Linked DNA regions of Pelodiscus sinensis. The protein of the gene in region 1 purifies or fractionates together with the protein of each later gene. This does not show direct contact. Links are inferred from orthologs where the notes say so. Each region holds a gene or a part of one and is shown in the gene's direction. Other genes may lie near its edges.

Region 1 (7,484 bases):
TCTCTCAGAGAAAGCCCAGGTGGGGGATGAGTATCTCTGTCTCCAGTCTACTCCACATCCTGCAATTCTATTGGGCCAAGGATGCAGGGAGGACTCTGCCCACTGCACAGCCACCAATAAGATTGGAGGGACTCAGACATTACAAGCAGAATGAGACCTGTGTGTCTCTCCAAGGCCTGACCATCCATGAAGCAGAAGATCTGTGGTGCTGGGCACTGACACCAGGACAGCAGGCTCCTGGGACACAGGAACACAGGGTGGGGAAGGAAAGGACCGTTTGGTAGTGTATGACATGGCTCAGTGAGTGGGGTTGGCTGGATTCCAGGGGACAGGACAAGAGCCCATTCCTATTCCCCGTTCAGTGTTTCCAATCCAGCAACCAGTGGAAGAGGCTGATACTAAGAGTCCCGCATTAAAACCTCACTATTTGCCATGATTTGTGCATCTGACCAAGACCCACTGCTATGTGGCATAAGGAGAAGCCACGAGTGGGGGAGTTAATGTAGGAAGATGGCTGTGGGAGTCTCTCCGCTTCTTGTCTTACTGGCTTATAGACAAAGGTCTGAGAGGAGAGCATTGGGTCAGTGAGCCACTATTGTCTGGCCAGACCCTGGCTGGATTTCCTGCTCCCTGCAGAAGTAGAGGAAGGAGATGGGGTTTGCCCAGTGCCATCACCAGTCAGAAAGCAGAACAAGGTAGGTGACACAGTAAGTGCCAAAATCACTATGGACCACACATACTCACCTCACGTCTCTGGATCCAGGAGGGAATGGCAGAGTGTCTGGCCCTCAGTCACTCTTCGAAAGGAGTACGTTGTCACTGACCCAAGTTGTATCAGCAAAAATACATATAGAATCTTAATTTAAAAAAATAAAACGAATAAAGACCAAAATAATCTAAATAAAGACCTCTGTTTAAAAAAATATTACAAGGAAAAAACCAAAGCAGCTTCTCATTTTTCTGTTGAAGCTAAAGTGATTTAAAAACCAATTCCAAACATATGGCAATCCTATAATCTTATCCCAACCTCTACACTTTTCACAATGGAACAGTAGGGTCTTTTGCAGATTGAGATGGGGCTAGGATTATTACTAAAGGCCAAATCTATAAAATGCATCATATACTGTTGTTAAATTATAAAAACACAGAGTTTGTGAAAGCATTAATTCCACTAGCTCCTGTATTTATAATTTATAAACTAAATCTAGAAACAGTTCAGCATATAATAGCAAAGAAAGTTAGAAAAAGTTTAGACGCACAAATACTCAAGTTAAAAGAAGGTCAGGACTAAATTGGAGTTTGTAAAAACACCTTGGAGCTCTGAACAGAGAAAGAGAATAAAGCACTGAAGTTAATCTTCACTGTAGTGTTTAGCTTGATCAGTAGTGTTTAACCTAACATATTTTGTGCAAAGTATAGACAAACGAGAGCAATAACAGAAATTACTAATAGTACTTTCAAATTAGAACTAAAATCTAACTCATAAGAAAAAAAAATCAAAGCTGCTTCTTTTGAAACCCAAAGCTTTTGCAATTAGCAAATAAGGCTGCAGTAATGCAATTGGCTCCCCATATGTCTGCACCTGTGATGAGTCAAATTGCAGGATTGAGGACAAAAGCTAGACAAGTAATGAGGCTCAAATTACAATCTATTTAATATTGCATGTTTGCTGTGTAGACAGTGGGTATTATTTTGCACCATTTTTAACACAGCAAAATGATTTTTCTTTCCCTGCTTCACACTAGTTTGGAACTGTATAGTATTTTTAGTTTTTGGTTAGTTAATATATTATTGGACTGTACTACAAGATTATGAATATAAGGTAGAAAATGACCAGTGGCCTGTCTTATGATAGCTATTTTATTCATGGTTACTTCAGACGTAGCCAAAACTATCCTCAAAGATGTAACTGTTAATGTGGTACGGCTAAAGCTCTAAGTCTTCGCTACTTCTACATATTGGATACATTCTTCTTGTGGTGGTTTAGCCTTTTTAACCAAATCTCTACCAGGTATGGGTTGAACATTTCTACTCCAGCACGCTCTGGTCCAACATCAACCATGGCATGATTTTAGTTAGCCAGATGTTCACTTATGCTGGGTGTGGCCAAATTTCCCATGGTCCCGTAAATTGTGTTTACAGCCAACAGTCCTGACTCTCAGTGGCTATGTCTACACTGCACAGTTATTTCAGAATAAGCCATTCTGGAATACAGGCAGTCCCCGAGTTACGCAGATCCGACTTATGTCGGATCTGCACTTACGAACGGGGTTTGCTGCCCATCTCCCTGGTCTGCTGGAGACCAGCAGACCAGGGAGACGGGAAGCAAAGCCTTTGAGGACGCCGGCAGCGGGACAGCCGTGACGCGTCTGGGCTGTCCGCTGCCCGCGTGCTCCGCGGCTTTGCTCCACGTCTCCCCAGACCAGGGAGAAGGGGAGCAAAGCCGGGGAGCACGCGGGCAGCGGACAGCCCAGACGCGCCATGGCTGTCCCGCTGCCGGCGTCCTCAGAGGCTTTGCTCCCCGTCTCCCTGGTCTGCTGGTCTCCAGCAGACCAGGGAAATGGGGAGCAAAACAGCAGAGCACGCGGGCAGCGGACAGCCCAGACGCACAGACCAGGGAGACGGGGAGCAAAGCGGAGCAAAGCCGCGGAGCACGCGGGCAGCGGACAGCCCAGACGCGCCGCGGCTGTCCCGCTGCCCCCGTGCTCCGCGGCTTTGCTCTGGATGCCTGTGGTATAGCAGCCGGGGCGCTGCCGGTTGGTCCCGTAGCGCCGCTCTGGGCGCTACTGGACCAACCCGGCAGCACCCCAGCTGCTCTGCCCCAGGCGTCCTGATTCAGCCACTGCTGGTCAGTTTCAGCAGCGGCTGAATCAGGACGCCAGGGGCAGAGCAGCTTGGGTGCTGGTGGGTTGGTCCAGTAGCGCCGAAGAGCGGCGCTACTGGAGCAACCCGGCAGCACCCAAGCTGCTCTGCCCCAGGCGTCCCCAAGTCAGCTGCTGCTGAAACTGACCAGCGCTGACTACAGGAAGCCCGAGGCAGAGTTGCTCTGCCCCGGCTTCCTGGAATCAGCCGCTGATCAGTTTCAGCAGCAGCTGACTTGGGGACGCCTGGGGTTCTTAAGTTGAATCTGTATGTAAGAACTGGCGTCCAGATTAAGCCTGTTGAAACTGATCAGCGGCCGATTCCAGGAAGCCCGGGGCAGAGCAACTCTGCCTCGGGCTTCCTGTAGTCAGCCGCTGGTCAGTTTCAGCAGCGGCTGAATCTGGATGCCAGTTCCGACTTACATACAGATTCAACTTAAGAACAAACCTACAGTCCCTATCTTGTACGTAACCCGGGGACTGCCTGTAGTTATTCTGAAATAGCTTATTTCAAAATAGCACACCAACACTACAGGGAAGTCTCAAAATTAGTCCAAGGCAGGCTTCCCTAATGTAGATGTGTTATCTCAATTTAGAGCCTCAGGAAGAATAATTAAGAATGGCCCTAGCGAGGGGCTATTTCGAAATAGCACAAGTGGAATGTCTACACATGCCTTATTTCAAAACAGCTATTTCGGAATAGGCGTTATTCTTCTTAGAATGAGGTTTACAGAAGTTGAATTAAGCTGTCCATTATTTCAAAATCATTTCGAAATAATAGAATTGCTGCTTAGCTACTCAGTTATTTCTGAATAACAGCCATTCTTCCGAAATAACTTTGCTGTGTTGACACACCCAATGTTCTATCTTGTTACTTAGCTCCAATTTACCTCAACTATCTAACCTCCCCCAAAATAAAATAAAAAACTTAAATAACAACAAATGCTCCTGCAACACCTTAGAGACTAACCAAAACAAAACAAAAAAATGTGGATGATATGAGTTTTCATGGGCACAACCTACTTCTTCAGATGGCATCTGAAGAAGTGGGTTATGTCTAGGAAAGCTCATGATAGGATCTCTATTTTTGGTTAATCTCTAAGGTGCGACAGGGCTATTCCTTGTTTTACCCTTTTTCAAAAAAACAAAAAAGCAGCCATGTCCTAACACTTCAAAGACTAACAAAGCAGTTTATTAGGGGATGAGCGTCGTGGGGCAGACCCGCTTCTTCAGACCATATTCTGACAGTGAGTATTGTTTAGGTACAGATTGCACAGCTACCCCGAGCCTGCCACTGTGCAGGAAGCAGCGGCGATGCTGCTAGGCAGCACCCCCCCTGCCTACACAACGGGGCAGCGTGTTGCGAGACCGGCCGGCGGGGTGAAGGTGGAATGTTCGCGGGCGCACCTGGCTGGGCCGGACACATTTGTCCGCGCGTCCCACGTCACAGACACCCCTCCCCCCAGCTCTGCAGGCTGTGGAGACTCAGCCTGCGGCTGCTGACGTAGAATACCGGCGCTGTGGCCCCAGACGCGCCCGGGCGGCGGCGACGTCACCACGGCTAGCGAAAGGAGCGGTGACGCTCTCCTAATGCCGTGCCTCGCCCCCTCCTTTCCGCGCCTGCGCACGGCTGTCCGCCTGTCCCGTCGCCTCTTGATGACGTGCGGGAGGCGCGCGCGCGGAGAAGCGGGCCCGGAGACCGCCAAGCCTCGCCAGCATGAAGGAGACGCCGCTGTCCAACTGCGAGCGGCGCTTCCTGCTGCGCGCCATCGAGGAGAGGAAGGTACGAGAGAGAAATCCCCCCCCCACTCGGCGGCGGCGCCGCCACCGGCCAAGCCCCCCCCTCCCCTTCCCTCCCATGGGCGCTCGGGGCCCGATGCTGCGCCCGCCCCGCGCAGCTGGTGACTCTGCTCTCGGCTCCGCAGCGCTTGGACGGGCGGCAGAGCTACGACTACAGGAACGTGCGCGTCTCCTTCGGCGCCGACTACGGCTGCTGTGTCGTGGAGCTGGGCAGGACCAGGTACCGCGGGGAAACCCCGCCCCGTGCGCCCGGCGCAGGGCTCCCATGACGCTCGCGCACGCGGTGCGGGGCCGCCACAGCCTGGGGGAGGCGACAGCGATGAATGGGGGGAGGGGGGGAGAGAGGAGAACAAATTGAGATCGGTCTCCCTGGAGGTGTCCGAAGCTACCGCGTCGGAAGCGGCAGATGAGCCAGTCACGTGCATGTAGACCTGACCTTGGCTAGTGGCAACTCATTAATCCCTCCGGCCCGACATCTCGAATTAAGCAAATTTGCAGCACCTGTGCGAAGTAGGTGGTAGCTCTATGGTATAGACTGGAGGAGCTGAAGTAATCATAAGCGATGTTTCCCTTAATCTTTTCCCATCCATGTGTGGAATAAATTATGTTATGCACACTGAGGCATGTTTGAATGAGCACCACCGGTAGGAGGAAAAAACTAGTTGTAGGCATTCTTCCAATCAGCCAGAAGGCCTTTAAATCTCTCCTGAGCAAGCCACACAAGCACACAGCTTACACTGGACACAAGTAAATTGTTGGCACTCACACAGCAGTAGAATTGATAATAAAGCCGAGGAATTTGAGTGTCCAGTGTGTGCTCTTCACATCTAGCTCTTGCTTGTTCCCTATTAGTGACTAGCATTTTAGCTGTATGGCCAAGGCTTACATAAGCAGTAATAAATTGGAGCCATGCAGTAAAATTCAGGTGCAAGTTGTTTCAATATTAAATTTAATTAAATATTATTTTTGTTATCTATACTAAAGTATTTTGTTATCTATACTAAAGGGTTTGTGTGGGGGGCGGGGTTCTTTTGCAGAGTCCTTGGACAAGTTTCATGTGAACTTGTTTCTCCAAAGCTAAATCGAGCTACAGAGGGTATACTTTTCTTCAATCTTGAGCTCTCTCCAATGGCTTCACCATCTTTTGAGCCTGGCAGGTATGTGCCCTTTCCATAGTGACAACAGACAAGGATGGCATAAGGAAAGCTATTCAGTGTCATATTTATCAGGATTATTATAACTCACAACTGATATGTAACCAATCTCTTGTTTGTTTTTCTAGGCAATCTGAGCTTTTGGTGAAACTGAATCGACTATTAGAAAGATGCCTCAGAAACTCAAAATGTATAGACACTGAATCTCTCTGTGTTGTTGCTGGTGTAAAGGTGTGAAAAACACTAATAAAATCAAAAGATCTTTAATACTAGAGGACTAATATATTGCATGTAGCGGTCAATCTGTCTTTGAGGACCAAAAATTCTGATTTTATTTTAAAAGACTATGGTTTCAGCTGTGCAAACATAGATATGTGTCTAACTTTAAAGATTGTACATAGTAGATTAAAAGTCAGTGGGACTGTTGGGATATGTAAAAATGAATAGGGATCGGGGTGTGGGGGGGTAGATACAATAGTGATAGGGGTTCTAGCCAGAGCAAGCATTTTGGCTTTTTGTGTATATTTTTTTCCCTTTTGTCCTTGAAGCCTAGGGAGATAGTTGCACTGAATACCGTTTTCTTTGTTTTGTCTTTACACTTGCTCTGTAAAAATACTTGAAGGGTCAGAGCACTTCCCCCCTCCCTGTAAGCTGCTAATTAAGACAGTATGTAATGCTAATTTAATTAAAAACCAGTAAACAACAAACAGAGGTTGGCATAATTGTATTCATCACCTGCTTATTAATATTCATTGTATGGAAGTTAACTTTGCTAAATAAGAGTTTATAAAAAGTAGTAATAAATGTGAGAATTAACATACCAAAATAGATAAACGAGTGTAACTGGTGCCAAATCATTGCCACTTGGAAAATTTTGTTGGGGGTCCAAAGTAAACATGCGTAAGCAATACAAAGGTCCCTTTAACCCATCCGCTCCTGGGTCACCTATTTTCTCGAACAGGTACTATATACATGCTAAAGCTAATTACTTGCATGAAATCATATTTCAATTTTAATTTATCGCAATCAGTATTGAAAGTAGATACTATTTCTCTTCAGATATGTTTTATCCTAATTTTTTGATGATCAAGAAATAAATTTATACTTCCATTCAACATGAATAGTAAAAAGTTATTTTGAAAAGGTGTTGGAAAATCAATACAAGTTACCAGTCATACAACAGTTTCATGAATTGTCACCTATTTTTTATAATTTAGGTGTGGCAAATTCGTGTGGACCTGCATTTGTTGAATCACGATGGAAACATTATTGATGCTGCAAGTATAGCAGCAATAGTGGCTTTATGTCACTTCCGTAGACCAGATGTATCTGTGCAAGGAGAGGAAGTAACGTTGGTGAGTAGGATAAAAGGAAAGCAGTGGTATTGTTGAAGTTAAAACATCATTCATGATAGCTTCTGTATATAAAATGGATCTTTGTCAATAAAGACAAATTAAATCTTAGGGGAAGAGCTACTTAAAACAGTTCTTGGTTTTCAGTTTGAGAGATCGTAACTATTTAAACATTAAATAAGGAAGACAATTTTATAGCACTCTTTTGTATTTCTCAATCAAACTGGAAACGCTCCATTGGCTCTATGGTGGATGCAGTATAGTTACCTACATAGGTAATATTTTGGAAAACATTTTAAAAAGAGCAAGAATCAAGT
Region 2 (7,100 bases), on another chromosome or scaffold:
GAAGGAATTCATCAGTTTCACCTAGGAATTTCAGCTTGAGATTTTGAAAGAGAGGGCAAAAAAGTCATCCTTGCAGTTCTATTTTCTGTTTACTGCACTTTATAAATAAATATCCCTTACAGGGAAAAGTTCTACAGTAAATGACTCCAAACTTGGACTATCCCAATTTGGTGAGGATGCACTGGGTGACCTAACAGGTCTTTTCCATCTGACATCTATTATTCTGTGAAATTTATCAACTATAATGGGGTTACTACAGGGTATGAGGCTCATGTAAGCATCATTTCACTGTAAAAGTTTTAAGCTCACACCCCTATTCAGATCAAATACATCTTGATAGTTTTGCCTGATTAAAGGCTACATAATTGGGCCAAAAATAACCAAATTATTTCCACTATGTTTACGTTTGTTTTATTAGATCTTATGAAAAGCTACAGCTAATATCCTCCAATCTAAAATCACCTGTGAATGATGCTTCTCCTTACCTTTATATCAGCTAAAGTTTAGTAGTTTTGATGACAGAATAAACATGGCCATTGCTTTTTAAATCAGTATTTGACTTTTTAATACGCATAATACATCAGTTAATACAAGAATAAAACATTGGAATGAGCTAAAGATGTATAATATTACGGGAAACAACAGAGTGTACAACTTTTTGATTTAATGATGTAGAACATGCTTCAAAATTTCATCTGTAGATGAAAGGGAAGAGGGAATCATGGAATTAATATACCAAAAATGAGGAATTATAGTAAATACATTGCTTTTATGCTTCCAATAATTACAAACATCTAGGCATGTAGCAGCATGAGGGGTTATTATTGTATTAGAAAGCAGCCTTTAGTTACTAGTTTGTTAGTTTCTTTTGGAGTAGAAATTGCTTGGTGTTGTTACAAGCAACTATCAGCACTTTGATCACAACACCTGAAAGGCTGAATTTTAAACAGAGGACACACTGGTATTCTCATCCAAAATCAATGAAATGGTGTCTCCCAGTGGCAATAAACGGAAACTGCACCCTGAAAACTAAGATGCAGGCTCATGGCAGAGGGGAGATCATCCTGCTGAGAAAATGGGAAGCACAGCAATGCATAATCACAAAATAATTTCCCTTTTTTTCAAAAAGAAAAAAGTCCGAAGACACTTCTTTCTACAGCTGTGCAAAATATTCAAGTCAGGTATACAATGGACCTAAAATCAATCTTGGTTTGAGCTCAAGCTATGATTGCAAGCCAGCTCTGCTTTGTTAGAATTTTTGGCGTGCACGACTGTGAACTACCCACAGAAGTTTTCTGCAAATGTTTTATTACCGTATCTGGGTATTTGTAAGCTCTTTGATGCTATTCATCATGGGATTAGAGCTGACTTCCTGGGTGCTCTGGGGCTGGAGCACCCACTGGGAAAAAGTAGCGGGTGCAGAGCACCCATTGGCACCAAGCTGTGCACTCTGCGCCACTCATGCGCTGGTAGCCCCACACTTAACCAACTTCTCTCCCTCCCTCCCAGTGCTTCTAGAGTGCTACAAACAGCTGATTGGCGGGATGCTGACATTCCAGGAGGGAGATGAAGAAGCAGGGAGGCACGCGCTGTACTTGGGGGATGTGAGGAAAGATGAGCTGGTGTATGGGCTTGGGGGAAAGGGTGGAGTATGGGGGGGGGGGAGCTGGTGAAGAGCAGTGGCCGGGCACCCCCTCGGCAAGAATAGAAGTCAGAACCTATGTAACATGGTATATTTTGCCATGGCAGCGGCATTTGAGAAAGGTCACGTAGTGGTTCTCTCTTGGCGTCTGTTTGGCTCAGCTTCTTCCAACTTAACAGGAGCATCCTCTCACCACAGGTCATTTTCAGGTGCTTTTTCAGGAACATAGGTTGAATTTCAGCTGAGTTCCCTGATTTAGTTGGAGAACTCAGGAAATAAATGCATTTTCCTCCTAGGTTTTTGAGTATGTCTGACTAAAGGCCTAGTATATGATTACTTTCTTTCATTTCCTGAGTTTCTCACACCTGATTATTGTTTTATATTCTGAGGGTCACATCATGTTTTATCGTGTTATCATCGGAAACTTCCTCCAAACGAAGGAGAGTGAGAAACAACAGAGCAAAAAAACTACAATTAGCACTGACTCAGATTTAGGAGTTTAGCAGTAGAGTCTGGTAGTAGTGAATAAGCATTTGGGTATATCATCCACTGGAAGTTTTATAGAGGATTAGCCATGGAAACCACATATATTAATGGGTGGAGATTCTCTCTCATTCTGTCAGTATCTGGGGTAGGCTCTCTGTAGGAAGCAATGGCATAGCCAGAAAGGACCACTTGGGTGGGCCCTGACTTTGGGAGGGTGGGCAATGATGGAGGCAGTAAGCCCCCACACTCTAGCCCTGCTCCCTAGCCAGACCGCTGACAGCAAGGGGTCAGCTCCAGCTCCACTCCCCAGCTAGACTGCTGGGTGGCAGGGCACCGATGGAACGGTGACAGCCCTGGCCCCACTCCCTGGCTGCTCCCCAGGCTGGAGCGTGGGTCAAAGGGGAGCCCGCACCTCTTGGCCCCACTCTCTGGAATGCTGGGCGCAGCAGGGTGAGCCCCGGCTACCCAGTCAGAGCACTGGGTGCAGCAGGGTCATCCCCCACATCCAACCAGCATGGTTGCGTGGGCCTGGATTAAAAGCAGGTGGACTAGGCCTACCCAGGCCCACCCGTGACTATGCCACAGGTAGGAAGGTACTGCCTGACATGGAAGAATTTGGGCTACTTCCTAGACTGCATCCCTTGTCGGTGGTCCTGCTTATGCCTCTCAGTACTGTCAATGTCAAGTGATGTGCTCCATGTAAATGTCCTTTGACCACCTGTTGATGTCGGAAACTACAAGCGGCCACGTCAGCTGAGCAAAGCGTCAACCGACTCCATATGTAGTCCACACTGGCTCCTTGTTGGGATCCTAAGCACCCAGATAGAGAACATATCAAGTATTAAACTGATAACAACAGATTTAATTATTTGTTAGGAAAGCTAATGTTTGACATGAAAATGGGCATGGTACACAGGTTAAGCGAAACGTATGTGTATATTGGAGTTCAGGGCTTATCGGGATCCTGTGAATCCCTCCAGCGGTAATCTTCATGCATGGGAATTTACACTAAACATGGGCATTGTCCACTGAAGTAGAAAGCTCCTTCCTGGAGAGACTACCTGTTCTAGGTCAGCTGACCCCAGCTTGATTTTGAATGAGGGAAAAAAGCCTGATCCCCTGACCTTTAACTATCAGACACTTTCTGGCTATTATTGACAAAGGCTGAAAGCTTGATGTCTCCTGTAACCCAGGATCTCCCTCCCCTGCCAGCACCATCTCTGCTCTCCTCACCACTGGCCCTTCCCCCATACCATCCCTGCCCCCCTCTGAGCCAGCCTCTTCTTCCCTCAGCACCATCCAGGCCCCCTCCTTGCTACCCCCTCTCCCTCCCACATCCTGCCCCCCGCCTCGCCATCCCCCTGCCCCAGCTCCATCTCTGTCCCCTCCTCGCCATTCTCCTCCCCCCAGCTCCATCTCTGTCCCCTCCTCGCCATTCCCCTCCCCCCAGCTCCATCCGTACCCCCTCCTCGCCATTCCCCTCCCCCCAGCTCCATCCCTGCCCCCTCCTCGCCATTCCCCTCCCCCAGCGCCATCCCTGCCCCCTCCTCGCCATTCCCCTCCCCCCAGCTCCATCCCTACCCCCTCCTCGCCATTCCCCTCCCCCCAGCGCCATCCCTACCCCCTCCTCGCCATTCCCCTCCCCCCAGCGCCATCCCTGCCCCCTCCTCGCCATTCCCCTCCCCCCAGCTCCATCCCTACCCCCTCCTCGCCATTCCCCTCCCCCCAGCGCCATCCCTACCCCCTCCTCGCCATTCCCCTCCCCCCAGCGCCATCCCTGCCCCCTCCTCGCCATGCCCCTCCCCCCAGCGCCATCCCTACCCCCTCCTCGCCATTCCCCTCCCCCCAGCTCCATCCCTGCCCCCTCCTCGCCATGCCCCTCCCCCAGCGGCCCCGCCGCTCCCGCCCGCCCCCGAGGCAGGCCCCGCCCTTCCGGCGTAGCGCGCTGGCGCCGCCTCCCGCCATTCCCGCCGGGCCCGGGCGCGCGGCCGATGCAGCGCACGGAGAAGGTGCTGCAGCTGCGGGGCCTGGCGGGCCGCTCGGTGCGCGTGGTGCGCGAGCACTACCTGCGCCCCGACGTGCCCTGCCGCAGCGCCCTGTGCCGGGCCGCCTGCCCCCGCGGTGAGCCGGGCGCGGGGGCACGGGGGGCGCCAGGGGCAGGAGCGGCTGGGGCGTGGGCGGGGCGATCCTTAGGGGGCAGGGAGCCGGGCCCCTGCTTGAAACTGCTGCCCCTAAGACCGGGGGGGGGGGGTAGTTTTAGAGCAAGACCAGCGGGGGGGGGCAGTTTTAGAGCAAGACCAGCGGGGGGGGGGGCAGTTTTAGAGCAAGACCAGCGGGGGGGGGGGCAGTTTTAGTGCAGGACCAGCGGGGGGGGGGGGGGGGTAGTTTTAGAGCAAGACCAGCGGGGGGGGGGGGTAGTTTTAGAGCTGGGATTTTGTCCTCTTCTGCCCACCCCCATGGAATATTTCGCCCAGCAAATGTTAAACGCGGGTCCTGTCGATTCCCCCCGGGCACATTCATGACCCAGCGCCAGGCCCTGTGGGGTGCGTCTGCCCTGCCCGGTGACTCGAGATAAGAGGCGCCGTGGGAGCGAAGCACATTGCGTGTCTTGTATCGTCGCCGCGCCGAGTTCCGAAATAAAGCCCCGTGGTGACCCGTCCCGTACGCCTTGTAGAAGGAGGTTTACAGGGATGTCGGGAGAGCGAGCCTGTAATAATGGGCTTGCTGTGAAGACATGAGATGTGTCCAGAAATAGCGTTGCAGTGTAGACGTACCCTTAGGCTGTGTCTAGATTAGCAAGTTTTTCTGCAAAAGCAACTGCTTTTGCGGAAAAACTTGCCAGCTGTCTACACTGGCCGTTTGAATTTCTGCAAGAACACTGACGATCTCGTGTAAGAAATCAGTGCTTCTTGCGGAAATACTATGCTGCTCCTGTTCGGGCAAAAGTCCTTTTGCGCAAAAGCTTTTGCGCAAAAGGGCAGTGTAGACAGCTCAGATTGTTTTGCGCAAAAAAGCCCCAATCGCAAAAATGGCAATCGGGGCTTTTTTGCAGAAAAGCGTTTCTGGATTGGCACGGATGCTTTTCCACAAAAAGTGCTTTTGTGGAAAAGCATCCATGCCAATCTAGATGCTCTTTTCCGCAAATGCTTTTAACAGAAAACTTTTCCGTTAAAAGCATTTGCGGAAAATCATGCCAGTCTAGACGTAGCCTTAGAGAATAACACAAATATGGAGAGACTCACAAAAACAACAAATAGTCTAACAGCACTTTAAAGACTAACAAAACATGTAGATGGTATCACAATCTTTTGTGGGTACAGCCCTCTGAGACTGTAAATTCAGAAACTGACGGTATATACTGGGGTTGGCAAATGCCTGTTATACGGGTTTCCTTACCATTTGGAAGGCCTACAGGATGCATCCACTTAGATGGTTCACAGGTTCAATCTTCTGCTAACAGCCTTGACAGGCTTTGTCACTTGTAAGTTAACTAGATCATTTCCAGAGGAAGCAGACCCTACAGAACAAAACAGATTCAGTAATAGAGAAGAGGGGGAGTACCAAACCAGCCAGTAGCACAACGAAATGTCCTTGCAGAATAGAAACCTGCACAAGTAAATGAAGATGCAATTCTGAAGAAGAACAGAAGGGAATTGAAAGGGGAAGGCTAGCTATAGGACTACCTATAACAGTGCAGTAGCTATGGGCTATAGCAGGGGTGGGAGCCTTTTTTGGGTTATGGGCCATGGACCCACAGAAAAATCAGTCAGGGGCTACACACAAGTGAGAAGCAAAATCCCTCTCTGACATGGCCCTTGACCGAGAAGGAGAAAGATACTCTCCACTTTCCTTTCCCACACCATAGCCTAGAGGGGCCCAGCCTAGTAGATTTTGTGTTCTGCAGCCCCACAACAGGGTAGTGGGGAGGCTGAAGCACTGGTGTGTGCTCCCCAGTGCTGGGGGAGGGCCCTGAGCCTCGCGGTCTGGATCCAGGCGAGCCAGGGGCCACATCCAGCCCCTGGGCCTGAGATTCTTATGTCTTTGCCCCCATTTTAAGGACATTTTTAAACTCAATTTTCTTTTCTAATTGGAATTAAATGATATTGATGTATATTAAAATATTCAACATGGCTAAAAAATTTACACTGAAACTTCTGCCTTTTTATAAAAACAACAAGGGATCTGGTAGCACCATAAAGAGACTCCTCATTCATTTTGCAGATGTAGAGTAACACAGCTACCCCTATGATTCTTGCCATTTTGTGCCATCAGTAACTTTTTAGGTAATTAAATTTAATTATCCATATTGTATTTGCTGGTCTTAGACATTGGAAGACTGCCAGTTTCTGTGATTGCTGGATTTGATGATGTTTTGTGTAGTGCACTACCATGTTGTACATAATAGGTTATTCTGAGGTAGCCTTTTTGAGTGTTTTGGTTGTTATAAGTACAATGGACTTTTCTGATACATGTACATAGTATATTAGATAATCAACATAGCAGAGATCAATTTCAAGTCAATTTCAAATGTATTAACTCTTAGTTCAGCTGCTCATCCTTAATAAAAAAACTTTTAAATTTTTAGTTTAAATTTTTAACTATTATTTAGAACAAAAACTTTCTGATTTATTTTTGGGGAAGAGGGTTGCGAAGGCATGTGTGATTGTGGCTCAACTGTTAGTGCAGCCTGTTGTTGTCTAGGATGTTAGACAAGAGGGCTGCGTCTAGACTGGCATGATTTCGTGCAAATACTTTTAACGGAAAAGTTTTTCCGTTAAAAGTATTTGCGCAAGACATCTTTTGCGCAAAAGCATCCGTGCCAGTGTAGACGCTCTCTTGTGCAAGAAAGCTCCGATGGCCATTTCAGCCATCGGGCTTTCTTGCGCAAGAAATTAACTTGCCTGTCTACACTGGCCCTCTTGCACAAGAATACTTGCGCAAGAGGGCTTATCCCAGAGCGGGAGTGTCAAAC

Evidence for each region. Proteins that work in one complex are often made in the same cells at the same time.
Region 2: the proteins of EXOSC9 (region 1) and DIS3L purify together in Homo sapiens (affinity purification with mass spectrometry; 3 studies listed by BioGRID and IntAct, with this or other methods). This does not show direct contact. The link is inferred for Pelodiscus sinensis from reciprocal best matches to the Homo sapiens genes EXOSC9 and DIS3L.

What each region holds. Positions count from the first base shown.
Region 1 is NC_134715.1:37,047,253-37,054,736, forward strand, and holds the start of EXOSC9 (exosome complex component RRP45), read left to right. Parts: upstream 1-4,484; 5' UTR 4,485-4,578; coding exon 4,579-4,644; intron 4,645-4,786; coding exon 4,787-4,881; intron 4,882-5,698; coding exon 5,699-5,818; intron 5,819-5,943; coding exon 5,944-6,046; intron 6,047-7,032; coding exon 7,033-7,170; intron 7,171-7,484. UniProt on the Homo sapiens protein: Non-catalytic component of the RNA exosome complex which has 3'->5' exoribonuclease activity and participates in a multitude of cellular RNA processing and degradation events.
Region 2 is NC_134724.1:4,766,518-4,773,617, reverse strand, and holds the start of DIS3L (DIS3-like exonuclease 1), read left to right. Parts: upstream 1-4,079; 5' UTR 4,080-4,119; coding exon 4,120-4,249; intron 4,250-7,100. UniProt on the Homo sapiens protein: Catalytic component of the RNA exosome complex which has 3'->5' exoribonuclease activity and participates in a multitude of cellular RNA processing and degradation events.